Linked DNA regions of Styela clava. The protein of the gene in region 2 interacts with the protein of the main gene of each other region in a pairwise test. Links are inferred from orthologs where the notes say so. Each region holds a gene or a part of one and is shown on either strand. Other genes may lie near its edges. The genes, in order: replication factor C subunit 4-like and PRKCA-binding protein-like.

What was found.
Region 1: the proteins of PRKCA-binding protein-like (region 2) and replication factor C subunit 4-like interact in a two-hybrid assay, tested with the Caenorhabditis elegans proteins (3 studies listed by BioGRID). The link is inferred for Styela clava from reciprocal best matches to the Caenorhabditis elegans genes Y57G11C.22 and rfc-4.

What each region holds. Positions count from the first base shown.
Region 1 is NC_135252.1:13,501,162-13,509,398, reverse strand, and holds replication factor C subunit 4-like, read right to left. Parts: upstream 3,027-8,237; 5' UTR 2,790-3,026; coding exon 1,734-2,789; 3' UTR 1,321-1,733; downstream 1-1,320. Other genes in the region: nuclear protein MDM1-like, read left to right, coding at 1-373. UniProt on the Caenorhabditis elegans protein: The elongation of primed DNA templates by DNA polymerase delta and epsilon requires the action of the accessory proteins PCNA and activator 1. This subunit may be involved in the elongation of the multiprimed DNA template.
Region 2 is NC_135258.1:21,924,709-21,933,958, forward strand, and holds PRKCA-binding protein-like, read left to right. Parts: upstream 1-5,651; 5' UTR 5,652-6,131; coding exon 6,132-7,298; 3' UTR 7,299-8,076; downstream 8,077-9,250. Other genes in the region: DNA/RNA-binding protein KIN17-like, read left to right, coding at 8,120-8,239, 8,442-8,606, 8,770-8,866, 8,985-9,120.

The DNA.
Region 1 (8,237 bases), on a different chromosome or scaffold from region 2:
CACTCTAACTCGTTTAAGCCCACGCTCTGCACCAGTCAAATGCACACGTGAAAAAGGCCAACGATCCACATCTGCAAAATCACCTATTGTAAAAAAGGAGTCACCAATGAAAAGAAAACAGACACCACCAAACTCCAGCCCCATCGTAACAAGGCATGTATCTTCCTTGCGAAACATCAGGGCTCCAATTAAAGGATCACTCAGAAGTGAAGAATTCCAGCACTGTGGTCCTCTAGGAAGACCTCAAACAACACCAGTAATGGCTTCTAGAGACGATGATGTCCTATCTGTTGCGTCTTCATTGACATCAGCGCGTGCATCAGAGTTACTTCAAAGGGCAAAAGAGAGGAAGAGTTTTTGGACCACTGTATAAACAATTTAGATTTAAGTGCAGTGCCAAACTTTGTGCACCTGTCATTGCTGCTTGATATATAATTATTTGCCAATTGTAGGTGTAGAGGTCCTAACAAAATGTAGAAACATCAATTTCACAGATTCTTGCCTTAAGCAAAAACAGATGTGATAAATTCCAGACATTGAAAGGGTATAGGTTCTAAATCATGTATCTCAATTTTTCTGTTCAAAATTAGGCTACCCCATCATAATACATAGTTGAAAAGAAACTATGCATCATGGAGACATTGTGATTTTATGAGACTTGTCTTCTTCAAGTAGGTTTGATATTATTTTATATATATTTGTATGTACCTTAATGTAATTACACAAATAAAATGATTTTTATAATATAATCAGTCTTATTACCGAAGTACCGATCGCCCTATTTTTTGACCACATATGCATCTTAAAAGCTACCGGTAATCAGTTTAGATAGGGGTGGGCAATTACTTTTCTGAGTGGGCCAGTTACTCATAATAGATTTAGTTACTGGGCCAGAATCTCAAAACTCGATAGGAAAAACTATGAACAAAAAAAACATTTTATTCACAAAAGCTAGGCTAACATTTATATACCAATAAGCACAATCGGGTTCAGAAATTTCTATCCATGAAAACTATAGTCTTAGTTTCAGATGAAACGCTTCAGTGGGCTAGATCCGGCCCACAATTCGCCCACCCATGGTTTATATTGAATTAATATTATTCCCACCAAAGTCTCTTTCAATATACAGTTATGTCTAGAGATTCTTATAGTCTTTTTCCTGTTATGTCATGGGCACCATTTGCCTGGTAAATTCTGGTTTTCGAACCACCAACCTTCTCATGTATTGGGGGGGCTGAACCTGCTCTTATTCCTATCCCACATCACTTCTGTTAAACCTGTTGGAGAATACGTACTCCCCGTAAATTAAAGACTTAAATATTTGACCTTATTTTGATTTTCCATGTTATACACATTGCAAAACTTCAACTCAGTGAAAAAATTTAATAACAGAAACATTTAGACAGGAATTCGCTTATTTTTCCGCATTTATGGTAGTACACATGGAGTTGAATTATTACTATGAGGTTCATAATAACTTCAATGTAATGATTCATGAAGTCCACAGTTAGCATTAGTTGATACTCTCTAAAAATCTCTTGTACCTCATGACACTGCTGGTGTATGAAGAATTAATTCCTGTATAATTTTAGTGCATGGACAAATTCTGGAATAAGAAATCTGGTATAACATAAGCACATAAGTTGTATTGACCAGGTTGGCGCATGATGAAAGTGATATATTCCACCAAAATATATCATCCCTATTTGGCAGTGTAGAAAAAAATCCCTAACTCATGAGCAAATTTGTTGCTGAATAAGAGTTCCAAGTGACATAAGTTGGAGGTATTCATCCGCACCATCATTGAGACAATAATCGAGGGTTGCTAATTTTTCAGTTATGGCACATTTTTGCTCATCAGTGAGAGATGGCATAATAACAATTTCATCATGGAGCTGTGAGACCAATTGAGCCGCGGCATGGCCATCAGCTGATATCTCTTGCACTGTTTTTAGGAGATTTTCGTATGAATTTGAAGAACAACTATTGAGAAATGATTTGATTACTGGATCTGGTATTACACCTGTTATCTCGAGAACATCTTCGATTGCTATGCCTTCGTCTCCTTTAAGTCTATGTGCAGTTTGTAAAAATGTCATTGCTTTTCGCAAATCCCCCTCTGAACATTTTACCATACTATCCATCGCATCTTCTGATATTTTAACGGATTCTGTTTCTGCTACTCTGAGTAACCTTTTTTTCTGATCCTCTTCAGACAAAGGTTTGAATCGAAATTTTGAACATCTTGATGTAATCGGTGCAATGATTCTTGTGACATAATTACAAATAAGGCAAAATCTTGTAGTTTTCGTTTGCTTCTCCATCGTCCTTCTCAAAGCTTGTTGTGCAGCTTTCGTCATAGAGTCTGCCTCATCTAATATGATTATCTTGAACGAAGGCGACTTTCCGCCTTGTAAACTGCTTACAGACAACTGTGCAAAATTTTTTATCTTGTCTCTCACCACTGATATGCCTCTGTCATCTGATGCATTGAGTTCAAGTACTCTATCCCGAAATTTGGGGCCATACAAATCTCGTGAAAGGGCCAGAATGGTTGATGTTTTACCGGTTCCTGGGGGACCATAGAACAACATATTGGGCAAGTCTGCTCCTGTAATACATTTTTTTAAAACTGCAACGACTTCGTCCTGATGCGCGATATCATCAACGCATTTTGGTCTGTATTTTTCAATCCATGGTTTCAAGTTTTCTGTTTCATTATCAGACTTAGTTAGGGATGATTTCTTTCCATCTCCAGATCCACTGGCTGGTTTAAAAAATGAATGCATTGTGGTTCAATAGATGTTGTACTACTATCAGACTGTTTTTTCAGACAGATTTTTCATCACAGTTATAAGTAAATATAAGTTATTTTAAATATTTTTTTAAATTTTTTATGGCAGAAAATAAAAATTCATACAAAAAGTCATAGGTTATTGCATATCATGTCAAGTTTTTTTTTATAAAATCAGGTTGTTGTCTCAATTTTTCCATATTTCTCCATGCTGAAAGGGATTTCTGGATTTTTTAAATCTGCCAATCTTGTATCTAGCAGTACACATAAGAAGTCTGGAATAATACAGTAATAGCATTACGTTTAATCAATGATAAATGTGAAAAACACTGATTTCTTAGGTCTAATAAAATACATGCAAACATGTTTTAGGCCTATATATATACTTCAACTTACAATCGTTTATTTTTAATATAACAGAAAAAAATAGAATCATACACATTTCTGCATTTTGTGTAAAAACACAGTTCCAAAATGAATGAGATATAAATTCTGGTGCTTGAGAACAAAATACCCATAAATCATTCCCAGAAATATGTCTAATTCTTGGTTTAACTTTTACTGAAAGAATATCCCACATTAGTTTATAATTAAAAGTTTTTATATTATAAGCTAATATTTTACAATGACAGAATGAGTATTTAAACAGGCTCCATCCAAACTACCATCTCTAAGAAACTATCCTATCATCATCCTTCAAACCAATTACTTTTTTTTTGCACCATTTTTATTCCTATACTCGTGCTTGCACTACTGCTGTATAGGGCTGGGCATTTCGAATCCAATAGTAAATTATTCGAATCGGTTCAGAGCTAAATTTCGAATCGCCGCCATCTTGTTTTCTTTTTTCGCCAATGGTCGAGGTGAATTCCCCAATTTTTTTTTCAACGCAATTCTAACATATGACTATTTTCTGTAGTGAGTTATTGATAAAAACGTGTTTGTTATGGTGTGTCGATTCGATTCTGAAATCACAAGGTATTCGAAAATGCCCAGCCCTACTGCTGCACCGATACCGAGTGTAAAGCATAGCATAGATCTGTAGACAGCGAATCAAACAGATAGAATAGGGATTTAGGATTTCTACAGATTTCCCGCCAAAGGAGCGTTCTATGGCTCCGATATGATTGATATCCGCGAGGATTATAAAAATTGATGTTGTTGTCAAGTGCATATTCTGGACATTTGCATCTTAGGTATATTTTAATAAATGTGCCCGCAACGGCGTCTAAAAATATATTCGGCCGGTTTAAATTAAAAGAGGATAAATTGTGGGTTCCGATTCAAAAATACAAAATCTAAATTTCGCGCTAACATACAATCGGTATGTTAGTCGTTGCATATAATGGATCGAAAATGCAATCGGTTCATAAAACTGCGCCTGTGAAGTAACTTATCTATCTTCGATCCGCAAGATATTTACAATCTTCGTGTAGCGTGGAAATGAATCCCAATTAGCAAGCCACACGAATTAGTGAACAAACAATACAAACTTCACGCAGTATATTTAGTGCAAAGGACAACCAGGATTCCAAAATTACATAACTTTACATAAATTTATATAAAACTACTAAATTTAATCATATGTACCATCCATTTCACATTCAGATTTCAAGCACCGTAAAACTCAAATTTTAGTACACTCATTTGGTTGTGTGTTCACAAAACCCATATTGTTTAATTGCGCATCAACGTTTTGCGATTTCCCAAGTTTTCGTTTTTTTTCCTTCTTATAACAACAAAAGCAAATACTCTTCCTCCAGGTATTCTGCATTTTGTTTGTCCGTTTTTTGTTGTTTTGTTTCATGTCAGAGGGACCGAAATAAAATTGATTGATTGTTTAATACTTTTCTTCTATTGTTAATATTGAGTTTTCAATCAGAACGCAAGTATTCAAGTCGCCATGAAGACATTGCAAACTAATTCTTTATTTAAATGGTGCAGTTCTCGCACCACGTGTTTTTCCATATAAATTCTATGTTTGTATTGACTCGTAATATATATTATAGTTGCGTCTACAATTCCCATTGTTCAAGTCTCTCGAATAAACGAACCGGCGATCCTTAATCATGGACCGACAACAAAAGACCGAAAATAGTTTAAGCATGGGCGTGGAGAGTTGTTTTGTAAAATTTGAATACGTGCGACATTTTAACAAAGTTGCCTAAACTATGTTGACGGTTTTGGAATAGCCTTTTCTATGATGTGGTTTGCGTGTTTCACTATCAGAACTAGAAGCTGGTAGAGAATCGAGGAGATGACGTTGTGTTCAATGGCCAAGTATGAGACAAGTGCATTTCGCGTCATTGCTTAAATAAAATCTTAGGATAATAAATTTTTCGGTGATGATACTTACCACCGAGCACCCGTTCAAGCTTGAGCTCGAAAAGACACGTGTAATCAGTAGGTAGCGATGAGCATAAATTATATAGTGAGTTATCGTCATATCTGTTAACAAACTCTTCGATACTTCTACTTCATTACATATAAGGTTCTTTGTATCTTTGCCTCTATTGTCGTATTATCATGTCCATGTATCCTTATAAATTCACCATTATTTTTGCGCGAAAAAGCTCTTCAAAACCCTATCCAGCCGGTCGGTCTGGTGCCATTTTACTTGGGTTATTTTATTGTCAACCATCAGGCCCTATAGCTTCACTCATGGCTTTTTAATAGCTTGTGATAGAGCTCTTTTCAGCAATATATGTAAAACGCAGTCCTCTAAAAAAAAATTTTTACGCCAAAATTCAAAATTTTCTATTGAACTTGCGAGATTTTGTGTCTAGTACAGGGTTAATAATTATTTCTAATTAATTAATTTTTATTTCAACGTTTTCTTGTGTTATTTTCCAACAGAACAACACTAGAACCACTATTATAGCAAGAATGGTTACTCTAAAATTAACGATTGTATTTACAGAATTTTCAAGTTCAAGGCTTCTATTAACAATTTTGATGACGTCACAGCTCTAATTATTAGTGCACACGCTCCCCTCAATGCAAAAAATGTTACTTTTTCCGACGTAAATGCGCGTAGAAAGACGTAAACATTCTAATGCGCGCCGCTACGCGTGAAAATTATCATTAATTTTACGTTTTTTTCACGTTTGAAAAATTTCGAAACCTCTGCCAAGTATGGTGCAGTCGAAATTATATTTATCAAAACATCACAGCGCCAGGGATGATATGCATGACTGAAAATACATGCTAAACCAATAATGATTGATAACTCGCTAATTATACGACATAATTCGCCCAAAATCAATAGGCTTCTGGTCCGAGATAAGATGAATGCACATGCAAAATCTGGAGCAGATTCAATCTCGCTTTCGTGAGATATCGCGTGCATCTAACAGACACACACACAGACAGACAGACATACATACAGACAAATACCTATCAATATACTTACCGATCTTAAGATCGATAAGTAATAAGTCATTATAAAGGAGTTAATGCTATTGATTTCTTGTCTGAGTCGCGTCAACAATTTCACACATATGACTGACGATTTGAAAATCGACGCTATTTATACGATTCGCACTTTGCGTCATGGCTGAAGTCTCTTTTTCGTGAAATATACGACTCTACTATAGAACATTGACTGTAAAACACCATTAATATCTTTTAGAGTTGGACTAGGCTAAATAATACTGAATATATGTCATCCGGCGGTGTTGGGTTAAAACATCGATTTTGCAATGTTTTCCTTGATGTCTTTATATTGCCTTGACAAATAAATGATGATTGGTTGAATGTGCCTATTTTTGCCCGCAGTTGTCAAACACAGCAGCATTTCAATTCCTAGAATTCTTTCTCATGTTTTGCTTTTTAGTTTGTATAAACTCCATATTCGGAGAGCCACAAAAATGCAAAAATGCATTCCTTACCACCGCATTTTGCCACAAAGAGAAAAGTCGAAGTCATTTTCTGCGTTTTCATATAAGGAAGAACACAAGTTTCCAATTGAACCAAGCGTTTATACACCTTTCTTTCAGAAAGCCACCACCACGGGTAAGAGAAGACTCGTACTCTAATTCATAACTTTAGAAATTTGATTTTGTAGCGGTCGAGATTTAATAAAATTTACCACTTGTCTGGTTTATTTGATTCGCATTAGGATGGAGCAAAGAAAATCTCTACAGTGACATATCACCAGTCCGTTGCAGCAAATTCGAGTAACAAGTCAAGCCGAACCACTCCTGCTTCTATTCACAAGTCGAGTCCTGGTCAATATAGATTTCATAAACAATAATAAAATGGTTGAATGAATGTCAATATTGTTCCATCCTAATGCGCCCTCATTCTTGATAATGCGCCAGTGCGATGTTGACAATGCCGCATCATTGCTGATAATGTACTGGTCCTAATATTAGAAAAGTACTCCTCTACTCCATCCAACCAATGACATGCTTCATGTCACAAATCCAACGTAAATCAATTTTATGACCTAATATATTAGCAGTGAAATTCTACGTCTCGTTCTCAAAGTTTGTGTGAGCTTTGCTACGGGGAAGTTGTGAAGCTGTCAGAAGTTGAAACCGTTCTTATACAATAGCTGTATTCAATCGAATAATTTCATATACAACAATGAAATTTCTTCCTAAAATGCATAGTAGATGTACGAGTAACTTCTTGTTTAGAGCCCATGTTCAAAGGGATGTGTGAAATATCCCATAAAAATAGGGCTACATATCACCAAATCTTTATCGAATGACCACGGCAAAAAGAGAATCTTAAAGTACAGTGGCACATCACTAAGGATGCTAAGTATGACTACTTACAAGTATTCGATTTCTATCTGATTCCTAAATTTTCGATTCCGATTCTCGATTCCGAATCTCGATTCCTCCACATATCTCACCGAGAAACATACCCACCTAAGCAACATCATATGAAATCAAACAAGAGAGCGATGTTTAAATACATAGACGGACAAGAAGGCCAAAACTAAGTAGTATCAGTATCCAATCTGTCACAGGAGACAAAATCGCACAAAAAAAGAATCCTTCAGAACCCAAGGAGTTTTTATAAATAAATAAACATAAAAGTCTTCTCGCGAAATATATATATATATATATACATAGGCTAATGAAGTTTGCGGCGTCGTAGCAACTCAACATAGCAGTAAACAGTTTATGCATATTTGGGAAGAAATTTCCACAAAAGGTTACACATTGTTTGCAATCTAAGTTTTGACCTCGAGAATCGATTCCAATGCATCGGAATCGATTCTAGTCGATTCCGCGAAGAATCGATTCTGTAATCGAATCCGGACTCGATTCCGCCATCCCTACACATCACCCGTCCGCGTTTCAGCGAATTCGAGTACTGGGTCAAGTCGAATCACTGATGCTTCTATTTACGAGTCGAGTCATTATAGATTTCATTAACAATAGTAATGGATGAATGAATTGACAATATTGTGCCATCCTATTGCGTC
Region 2 (9,250 bases):
TCGAGAAATTTCCCACACTATTGAGTCAGAGCGAAGGATACACGCCGCGAGATCGTATCTCGTTACTTATAATTACTCCTTAAAGTTTAAGCAATGTCCATATCCCTAAATCAGGTTCGGGGTTGCAGAATTCCTCACCAAAATATCGCTAGGCTGTGTTTGAATAGCCGTCGCAACCTGGGTTAGCGCCGTTGTATTTAACACAAACTATAGGATTGGTAAGAACAGAAATAGGCTATTGGCTGGAAACTTATCGAAACAATCCAGTTCGGATTTGCAGAATTCTTCATAAAAGTATTTCCTCGAGTAGTATTTCGACGACATGGGGAGTTGGCTATTGTTTCCTACATTTCTGATATTGGCTGAAAACTAATCAAAACAATCCAGTTCGGGTTTGCAGAATTTTTCGAATCGAAACCGCAGTTTCTGTTTTGGGGGATCCCCTAACTTTCGATCGATAAGTCTTCGGTCTCCGACCGATATTCTCGTTCTTATTGTTATTCACGAATTTCCACTTTGAAAACTAACATTGTAGCATCTCTTTCTATATATAAATGTCACAGCTTTCCCCATCCATACCCATCCCTATATAACTATCATTAGATATTCTGATGCTGATCTGTACCGATAATCGGGTTAAATGTTAAGTCCCTCTTTAGTGTTTCATGACTACATACGAAAACACGGGACAATGATATACATACAACTTCTCCTTTTTAACTAGCAGCCAAACGCCTAACGCGCTCCTCAGTTGCATAAATACATTCAGTTTTTTTTTGAAACAAATAAGTAAAATTATAAATGCGACGACTGCTATGTTATCCGAACAAAAGCGAAAACTTTAACTACCAAGCGTGTGTCTGCCAAATACAAATTCAGCGTATTATTGATTAATTTCTAATGATTTTTATACTTTTTGAAATAATGCAAAATTGCCTAAAACTCCTGACAAAGTCTGCTTGGCCTCAAAATTGAACCGATTTTTTGTAAACTGTATATGTGACTCGTTGAAACTGAGATTCGAATGATTCAGAGTGAATAATTATTCACAAACCAGTAATCATACCTGAACTCCCAACTGTTTATGTCGCACAAAGACAGGCAATAGTTGTGGTAAATTAACATTTGCCTTATGGGAATTTATTTTCTTATATTGGTTTGTTTACATGTAACTGTAGCCTAATTCCTTCACGAATTTATGGTAAATTTGGAGTTCGGTACTACCGTAGTATGTGTACCAGATTAGGGTTAGGCCATAATTTTATGCCGATTTTCCTTATTTTAGTTCCATTACGAGTTCGGGGACTGTTTATGTTAGCCTATAGCATAAATAATGGGTAAATTCTGTTTGATTTTATTCTCAGATTTCCACGATACACAGAATATAAATCTTATAACATTTATCCAGACTAGCTTAGAATGGTTTACATCGTCTTCTCTCTCCTATCGAAAGATATCGGAGTCGTATTTATACGTTGATCATAAATCCAATTAAATGCTGTAAACGTGAGCTCGTGATTCACGTTATAAACAGAAATTCCTATTATCTCAACAAGGGTAATTAGGTACATCGTACGGATGGGAACTTAGATATAATTATTTCAATCAGTGCCAAAGGTCTTGAGAATATAGATTTTAATTTGATAATGACTGGATGGAACCTGTTATGTTCTTAAAACTGGTGTAATTTGATTCCTACGAAAGTCTTGGTTCGAATTTTGAGAAAAATTAACTTTGTTTTCATATTTTTAACATGAAATGGGGTACATTTGGGGGTTAGTTGCTATATTATCTCCCCATCTTACTAACTGGAAGTTTCAAGATTTGGCAACTCTAATAAATTGAAAATATATAGAAAAATACAATACACAATGCTAAAATTAATGATATAGGTCAAAAAAAATATTTACATGTATATGATCTACAATGAGACAAGACATTGAAGTAAAGAAGAGTTTATAGAAAGAGTAAAGGCTGTAATGTAGAATTACAGAAAGATGGCGTATTTATATTTGAAAAATTTTGGTTTGGACGGTTAAAACATATTTTCAATTCAATGTATTTCGCTAAGTTAAAATGCTTATACTCGCTTTATCGCATTGTTACGATTTAGTAGACCTAGTTGGTCAATATATGCTTGTCCCATGTCGGGAAGAAAAAACGCATTTTTAAGTTTATGCCATCTCAGGGCTTTTTTGAAAAAATAACGCTTTTGGATACAATTTTTGTTTAACGAGCTTATTATTTAACCGTTCTATATGACGGCTTTGTAAATAATTAAAAGTATGACTCGCTCGAATCTACTTTTAGAAAGCATTTTAATCCCAATGAAATCTATTAATCGAAAAAGGAATGCTAACCGCAAATTTTCAATAATATAAATATTTTGAAAGGTATTTGAAATCAGAATATTCAAAGTTGTTACCATTAATTAATTTATAAAAATTAAAAGTCGAATGAAACGCCATGTATATATAAGAAAAAGAAGTACGGTACTTTACCTTAGTATTAGTGGAAGAATGAAAAATGTCTGTCTCAATGAGAAGAAAAACCTGAAAATCATGAAACAAATTGTAGAATGACATGCTCCTGATCTGTATATCGATTGGGTACGCGCGACAATTTCTCTATTGTTCGGAATAGAGCGCGTAATTTACCGTAAAACAGTCCATATATTGTTCATTGTTTTAAACAGTTCGTTTTTTGATTAGGTTTTTCACCTCGAACATATATCATGTTCTAAAAGAGTTCATTTCGATCGATGTTCAATACAGTCCATATTCATAATTTTAACGTTTCCAGAGTCCGTCACTATAGTTTAACAGTTTTCAATTGAGTTTATTGTCGTTTCATAATGTTCTTGATTATTTTGGCTTGATAGCAATTTGATACTTCAATTGTTGTTCCAGGCAATTTGAATCTCCCCGACATTCGTAAGTTCGCACGTTTTGTATAGACGGTTTCTCGGCAATTGTTGAAAGCTTTCGCTTGGTCAGCTTTTTGGTTGATTCCGTCAAATTGTTGCCTGTCCTGATTGTTGTCCGTACTTGTGGTTGAAATCCGTTGATCTGGTTCGTTTCAGATGGTTAATTCAAGTCGGTTTTGTCACCATTTATAGTATATAGGGTAGATTCTATTTGATTTTATTCTCAGATTTCCACGATACACAGAATATAAATCTTATAACATTTATCCAGACTAGCTTAGAATGGTTTACATCGTCTTCTCTCTCCTATCGAAAGATATCGGAGTCGTATTTATACGTTGATCATAAATCCAATTAAATGCTGTAAACGTGAGCTCGTGATTCACGTTATAAACAGAAATTCCTATTATCTCAACAAGGGTAATTAGGTACATCGTACGGATGGGAACTTAGATATAATTATTTCAATCAGTGCCAAAGGTCTTGAGAATATAGATTTTAATTTGATAATGACTGGATGGAACCTGTTATGTTCTTAAAACTGGTGTAATTTGATTCCTACGAAAGTCTTGGTTCGAATTTTGAGAAAAATTAACTTTGTTTTCATATTTTTAACATGAAATGGGGTACATTTGGGGGTTAGTTGCTATAAGCCAACTGAATGAAATGAACCCTGCCCATAGGCTTCCATCCCTTTACACAACTTGATGTAAAGTAGGCGAACAAAATTAGTTACCTCCATACATGAGCATGCCAAACTTTTCTGCTGCCCGGGGCGAGTTTCTGATAATACTTTTAAAAGTCAATGATCAACCAAAATATTTCATATATATATATGCTTTCATAAAATTCCATAAGCAAATTAGGACGGCTCATCCATTAGCCAACGTCATGAATATTTTACATTGTAACAAAGCTGAAAAATATCAGACGGTTGTTTGTCATGTTGGAAAGGCTAAAGTAGAAAAAAGACAAAACTAAAATGGTGAAATTTTAGTTTCAAACTCCCAAAACCAACCTCATCTCATAGTTTGCGTCGCTATACACTACCGTTGTCCGTTTGCGGGGACGTTGTAACTCACCGAAGGGCTGATTCAAACATCGAACCGCAGACCTGATTCCAAATATAATAAGAGTGTGAGAGCTGGTTGCCCCACGGTGGCCCACCTTTCCCTACTTAACTTTTAAAAAATGTTTCGGTGTATAAAGAGATTATAGACGTCGTTACACGTGAGAATAAATAAATTGAAGGTCAGGTAAGACAGAAACGTTCGTTTTATTAAACAAATCATCAAACTAAGCAAAAAACTCACTGTATAAAATCGAACTCATTTATTAACAAAAAGCAAGTCACTTATTTCTATGTGCAATCGCTACTTTGCTGTCAACAAATGTCTGAATGAAAGACTCTTTCGAATTTCGGTACTAATCAAAGATAAACTTGACATCGAATACCTCGAATATATATATATATTTTTATCAGAACTTTGAGAAAGATCGCGTGCAACTATCAATTGAGTATAGCCAATTGTGAGTAATACACATTATGCAATGCACAAAGTTGGAAAATCATCCCAGCCAAGCTCAACCAATGAATCAAGAAAATCTTTAGCATTTTTTGAAAAATCCGTTTACACTCCGACGTAGCAGTGAACGTTTTAGAAGTCACACAGACAGGTGCATTCATATTATTAGGTGAGTGAACACATAACATTGGCAAGACCCTCCAATTAATATCCTGCACACCTTGGGCAGACTGAAACAACTGGATTTTTGACGTGAAATGGAACACTGTGAATCACAGTGTGATGAACAAATTGGTGTTGACGGTCACTGATGATCAAGTTCGGCTGCAGTATGAAACAGATCATTCACAAGGTGTAAAGAGAATAAAGAAAATTTATGGAAAGGTATTGCGGATAATGTTTTTTTAAAGGGATCAACATACAAACATTCAACGACCGTACATGACATTCGGCTGCTACGGGATGGGGCAAAATAAACATTTAATAATTAACAGCGTATTGCTGACATATAGGCTACGGTACATATTGAATTGGCCATTATTACTGTAATAGATTAGGTGTTTCAAAAGTATAACAGCCCGGAAGTTCCTATACATTCGAGTATCTTTTGTTTGATTATTTCTGGCCTAAGCCTTGTTTTAACTAGGCTTGTGTTTTTTGTAATTTATTTTTGTGTATGTGCTGGTGGGAGGGCACATGATATTTCGCATGTTTTGAACTTTTTTAAATGTTTCGCTCACCCTCCAGAATTCTCCATTTTAAATTTGTGTATATTGTGGAGTATTCGAATAAACTATCTATCTATATAACTGCAAATATATGTGCTTGGACCTCAGGTACTGCTGTGCGAGAAGATTTCTGGACTCCACGCCGACGTAGGGTGGTTTACGTAACCGCTGGTCGATTACGGTTTTCCGGACGAGAAGCCGTGGCCATATGATTATAGGCTTTCTTGCCCCCTGAATAAATATGTAAATTGCAAATCCTGCCCTTTCCCGAACGAGGGCATGATTTCCTGTCGTCATGGTTGATTAAACATGATTGACGGAGCTGGCTTTTGTTGACGTCATTCGTTCGATGTGCAGCTGAAGTGTTAGCTAATCCCAATTATTCCTCCTTAAAAACATAGTACGGTAGGTCTGCGATGGTTAGCCTACTCGTTATCATTTGCATTCTTTAAAATCACGTACTAATGCAGTATTGTTTGCGAACATAAATTTATGCAATACAGTAATAAGTATCGTAAATATAACTGAGTTTACACCTTGTAACAGAAATAAATATTCTCTAATATATTATGAAGTTGAAGCATCAATCTGTCAATTCAATGTTTTCTTCTACTAACTTTACTCATTCTTCAAGTTCATTATTGTTATTTAATCACAATTTGTACTGTACGGTAGTTCTTCCAAATTTAAAAAAAGTTAATGATAATGTGATTTTGTACCATACTAAACAGAATCGGTTTCGGAAATATTCGCTTAGAAAATAAAATATTTGAAACTCAGATCCCCAGCCTGCCAGTGGTGACTGCTTATGGTTTCTGCCCTTCGATTAGTGCGGTAGGATTTTTGATTTTGTTGAATTATCTAATTATTCATTTCTAGAATTTGAGAAAACAGTTGTAAACGAAATACTGACCGATATCCATACTACCAATTTGTCTATTCAATGCCCAGATGTCTCACGCCATGGAAGAATGGGGAATAGAAGAGGATAAGATGGGAATGACCACTGTTTCTGGTACAGTCAAGCTCATGAAAGATAAGCAAAATTTGATTGGAATAAGCATTGGCGGAGGTGCACCCTTATGTCCATGTCTTTATATTGTACAAGTATTCGATAATACACCAGCTGCAAAGGATGGATCTTTGGCTGCAGGTGATGAAATTGTTGCTGTAAATAGCAAATCAGTCAAAGGGCTATCAAAGGTTCAGTTGGCTAAAACAATACAAAGCATAAAGGGTGAAGTCCGAATCAACTTTAATAAACTACATGCAGATCCTAAACAAGGCAAAACATTGGATATTGTTCTGAAAAAGATAAAGCACCGAATTGTTGAACAAATGGATTCAAGTACAGCAGATGCACTTGGATTAAGTCGTGCAATTTTATGCAATGATGTTTTGATTAAGAGACTTCAGGAAATGGAACAGATTGGTGGAGTATATCTTGGGCTCATTGTTCACATAAAGAAACTTCTAAAATCTTATTTTAATTTGTGTAAAACTCACCGTGCATTCGGAGATATTTTTGGTGAGATTGGTGTACGTGATCCAAACTTTAACGGAGGTGAGGCTTTCGGGAAGTTTAGCGAAGCTCATCGTAATTTTGAAAAGTCTGGCTTCACTTTGATGACAACTTTAAAACCAATGTTGAATGATTTGAATACATATCTCAACAAAGCTATTCCGGATACGAAAATGACAATCAGGCGCTATGCAGACACAAAATTTGAGTACTTGTCGTTTTGTCTCAAGGTGAAGGAAATGGATGACGAGGAATATAGTTATGCTGCATTACAGGAACCACTTTATCGCGTTGAAACAGGAAATTATGAATATCGCTTAGTTTTGCGATGTCGCCAAGATGCTCGAGAGCGGTTTGCCAAACTTCGAAAAGATGTTATGGAAAAGCTAGAATTACTGGACAACAAACATGTACAAGATATCGTCCATCAGCTGCAAAGATTTGTTGCTGCTATTTCAAAGTATCATGATGACTGTCAAGCAAGTATGAAACAAGCTGATGTATTTCCAGTAGAAGTTGACTTGTCGAGTGCAACGTTCGAATATGATAAAAAAGACCGATTCCACGATCCGGAATATGAAGAGACTTTAGAATGAAAACGATGTTAATTGTCAACAATTCTAGTGCATATTACAGGTCAATTTGACCGGAATATCAAAAAAACAAAGGAAGTACTCCCTGTGTAAAATCTGAGAATTTTTATTAGGACCGTTTTGTAGTTTTGTCTGCTAATTCTTCGTATCCATATAGATTGGACCTCAAACTATTTATTCTATTGAAGCAATAACCTTTTTCAATTTACATGTGCATTTAATGTGAATTTTTGCTTTTTATTTCATCTGCTATCTTTGCGTAGAATTTTACTGCATAAGATAGTTTTGGAAGTTTTCTTTTATTGAATATATAAATTATGAAATGTAAAACAATGTGTCTTCAATATTGTGCTCATTTTGTCTGAAGTTTTCATTTTTTTGAATGTGTCTGATTAAAATTTTGTTGCCAAATGGTATGTATACTTTAAGAAGAGATTTTGTTATTTCATTTAAACTAGTACTGTTAAATCAAATGGTGAATTATGTTCATTTTATACATCAAACGCAGTGTGATGTTTCACTCTGTATGATTAATTTCAAAATATTAAATGAATAATACTTGAAATTCATGGCTGCTTTAATCGTTTTTGTCAATATAAATCAAATCCCGATACATAGTAATGATTCTAATGAAGATGAATTGTGCTGAACGATGAATTGCATGCTAAGTTCTATGTTTTCCCATTTATTGTGCATGTATTGTATGGTTGGTGATTATGTGCAATTACTTGTCCTTGATTAAGATATAAGATGCTGTAAATTGTATGTTGTTTTCTTTTAGTATTTTATTAACTTACTAATTAATACTGCACCTATTATTTATAATGGGAAAAGAAAAAGGTGGATTTTTAACTCCCAAGGCTATCGCAAATCGCATTAAATCGAAAGGTTTGCAAAAATTACGATGGTATTGTCAAATGTGCCAGAAGCAATGCAGAGATGAGGTAGGTTTCAAAAAATATGTCTTAAATATATTCTTTTCATACTATTATCTCTCTATCCACTTTTTCTATTTGCTTTGCCATGACATCAGACTTTGAACCTACATCTAATGAGTTAGTTCTAACTAATAAGCTATTCTAATATGCCATCCTAACATAACTAGTAGCTCAAAACTCTGAATAACATGATATATTGTCATGACAGAATGGTTTCAAATGTCATTGCATGTCAGAATCTCATCAAAGACAACTATTGCTGGTTGCAGAGAAACCAGGTGCCTTCAATGACCATTTTTCAAATGAATTTTTGAAAGAGTTTATGGAGTTATTGAAGCGTCGTTTCAACACTAGAAGAGTTCACAACAATGTGGTATGCATATATTATTAGAAAATTTTTGCTAAATCATACATTGCCATAAATGTTGATACTATTAAAGGGCTATTATAAAACTTATTTGAACTTATTATTCAAAAAGTTGAATACCTGGTACAATCGAACTTGAAGATCATCTCAATATTATTTGTTGTTTTAGGTTTACAACGAATATATTGGATTCAAGGAACATATTCATATGAATTCAACAAAATGGGTCACACTTACTGAATTTACAAAGTGGCTGGGACGTGAAGGTACATTAAATTAGGTTAGGTATATTTTCCTTTTACTAAATATTCAATTTAAAAAGTATAACCACTGGTACCCATGAAATGATTGTCATTATTGAGGACTCTGTTATTGTGCAAATAGGTTATTGCAAGGTTGACCAAACAGAGAAAGGATGGTTCATACAATACATTGACAGAGATCCTGAAGTTATTAGACGGCAGAAAGAACTCGAAAAAATTAAAAAAAAGGAAAAAGACGATGATGAAAGACATGCAAGGTAAGTTTCAGCCTTGTGAGTAACTGATTTTCTTTTCCACTCTCTTGAGACATATTGTTTCCTCTTCAGTTCATTGTAATATATTCTTTTTTGTAATGGAAAGTTTTCTGAATATTTTTATCATTGCTTT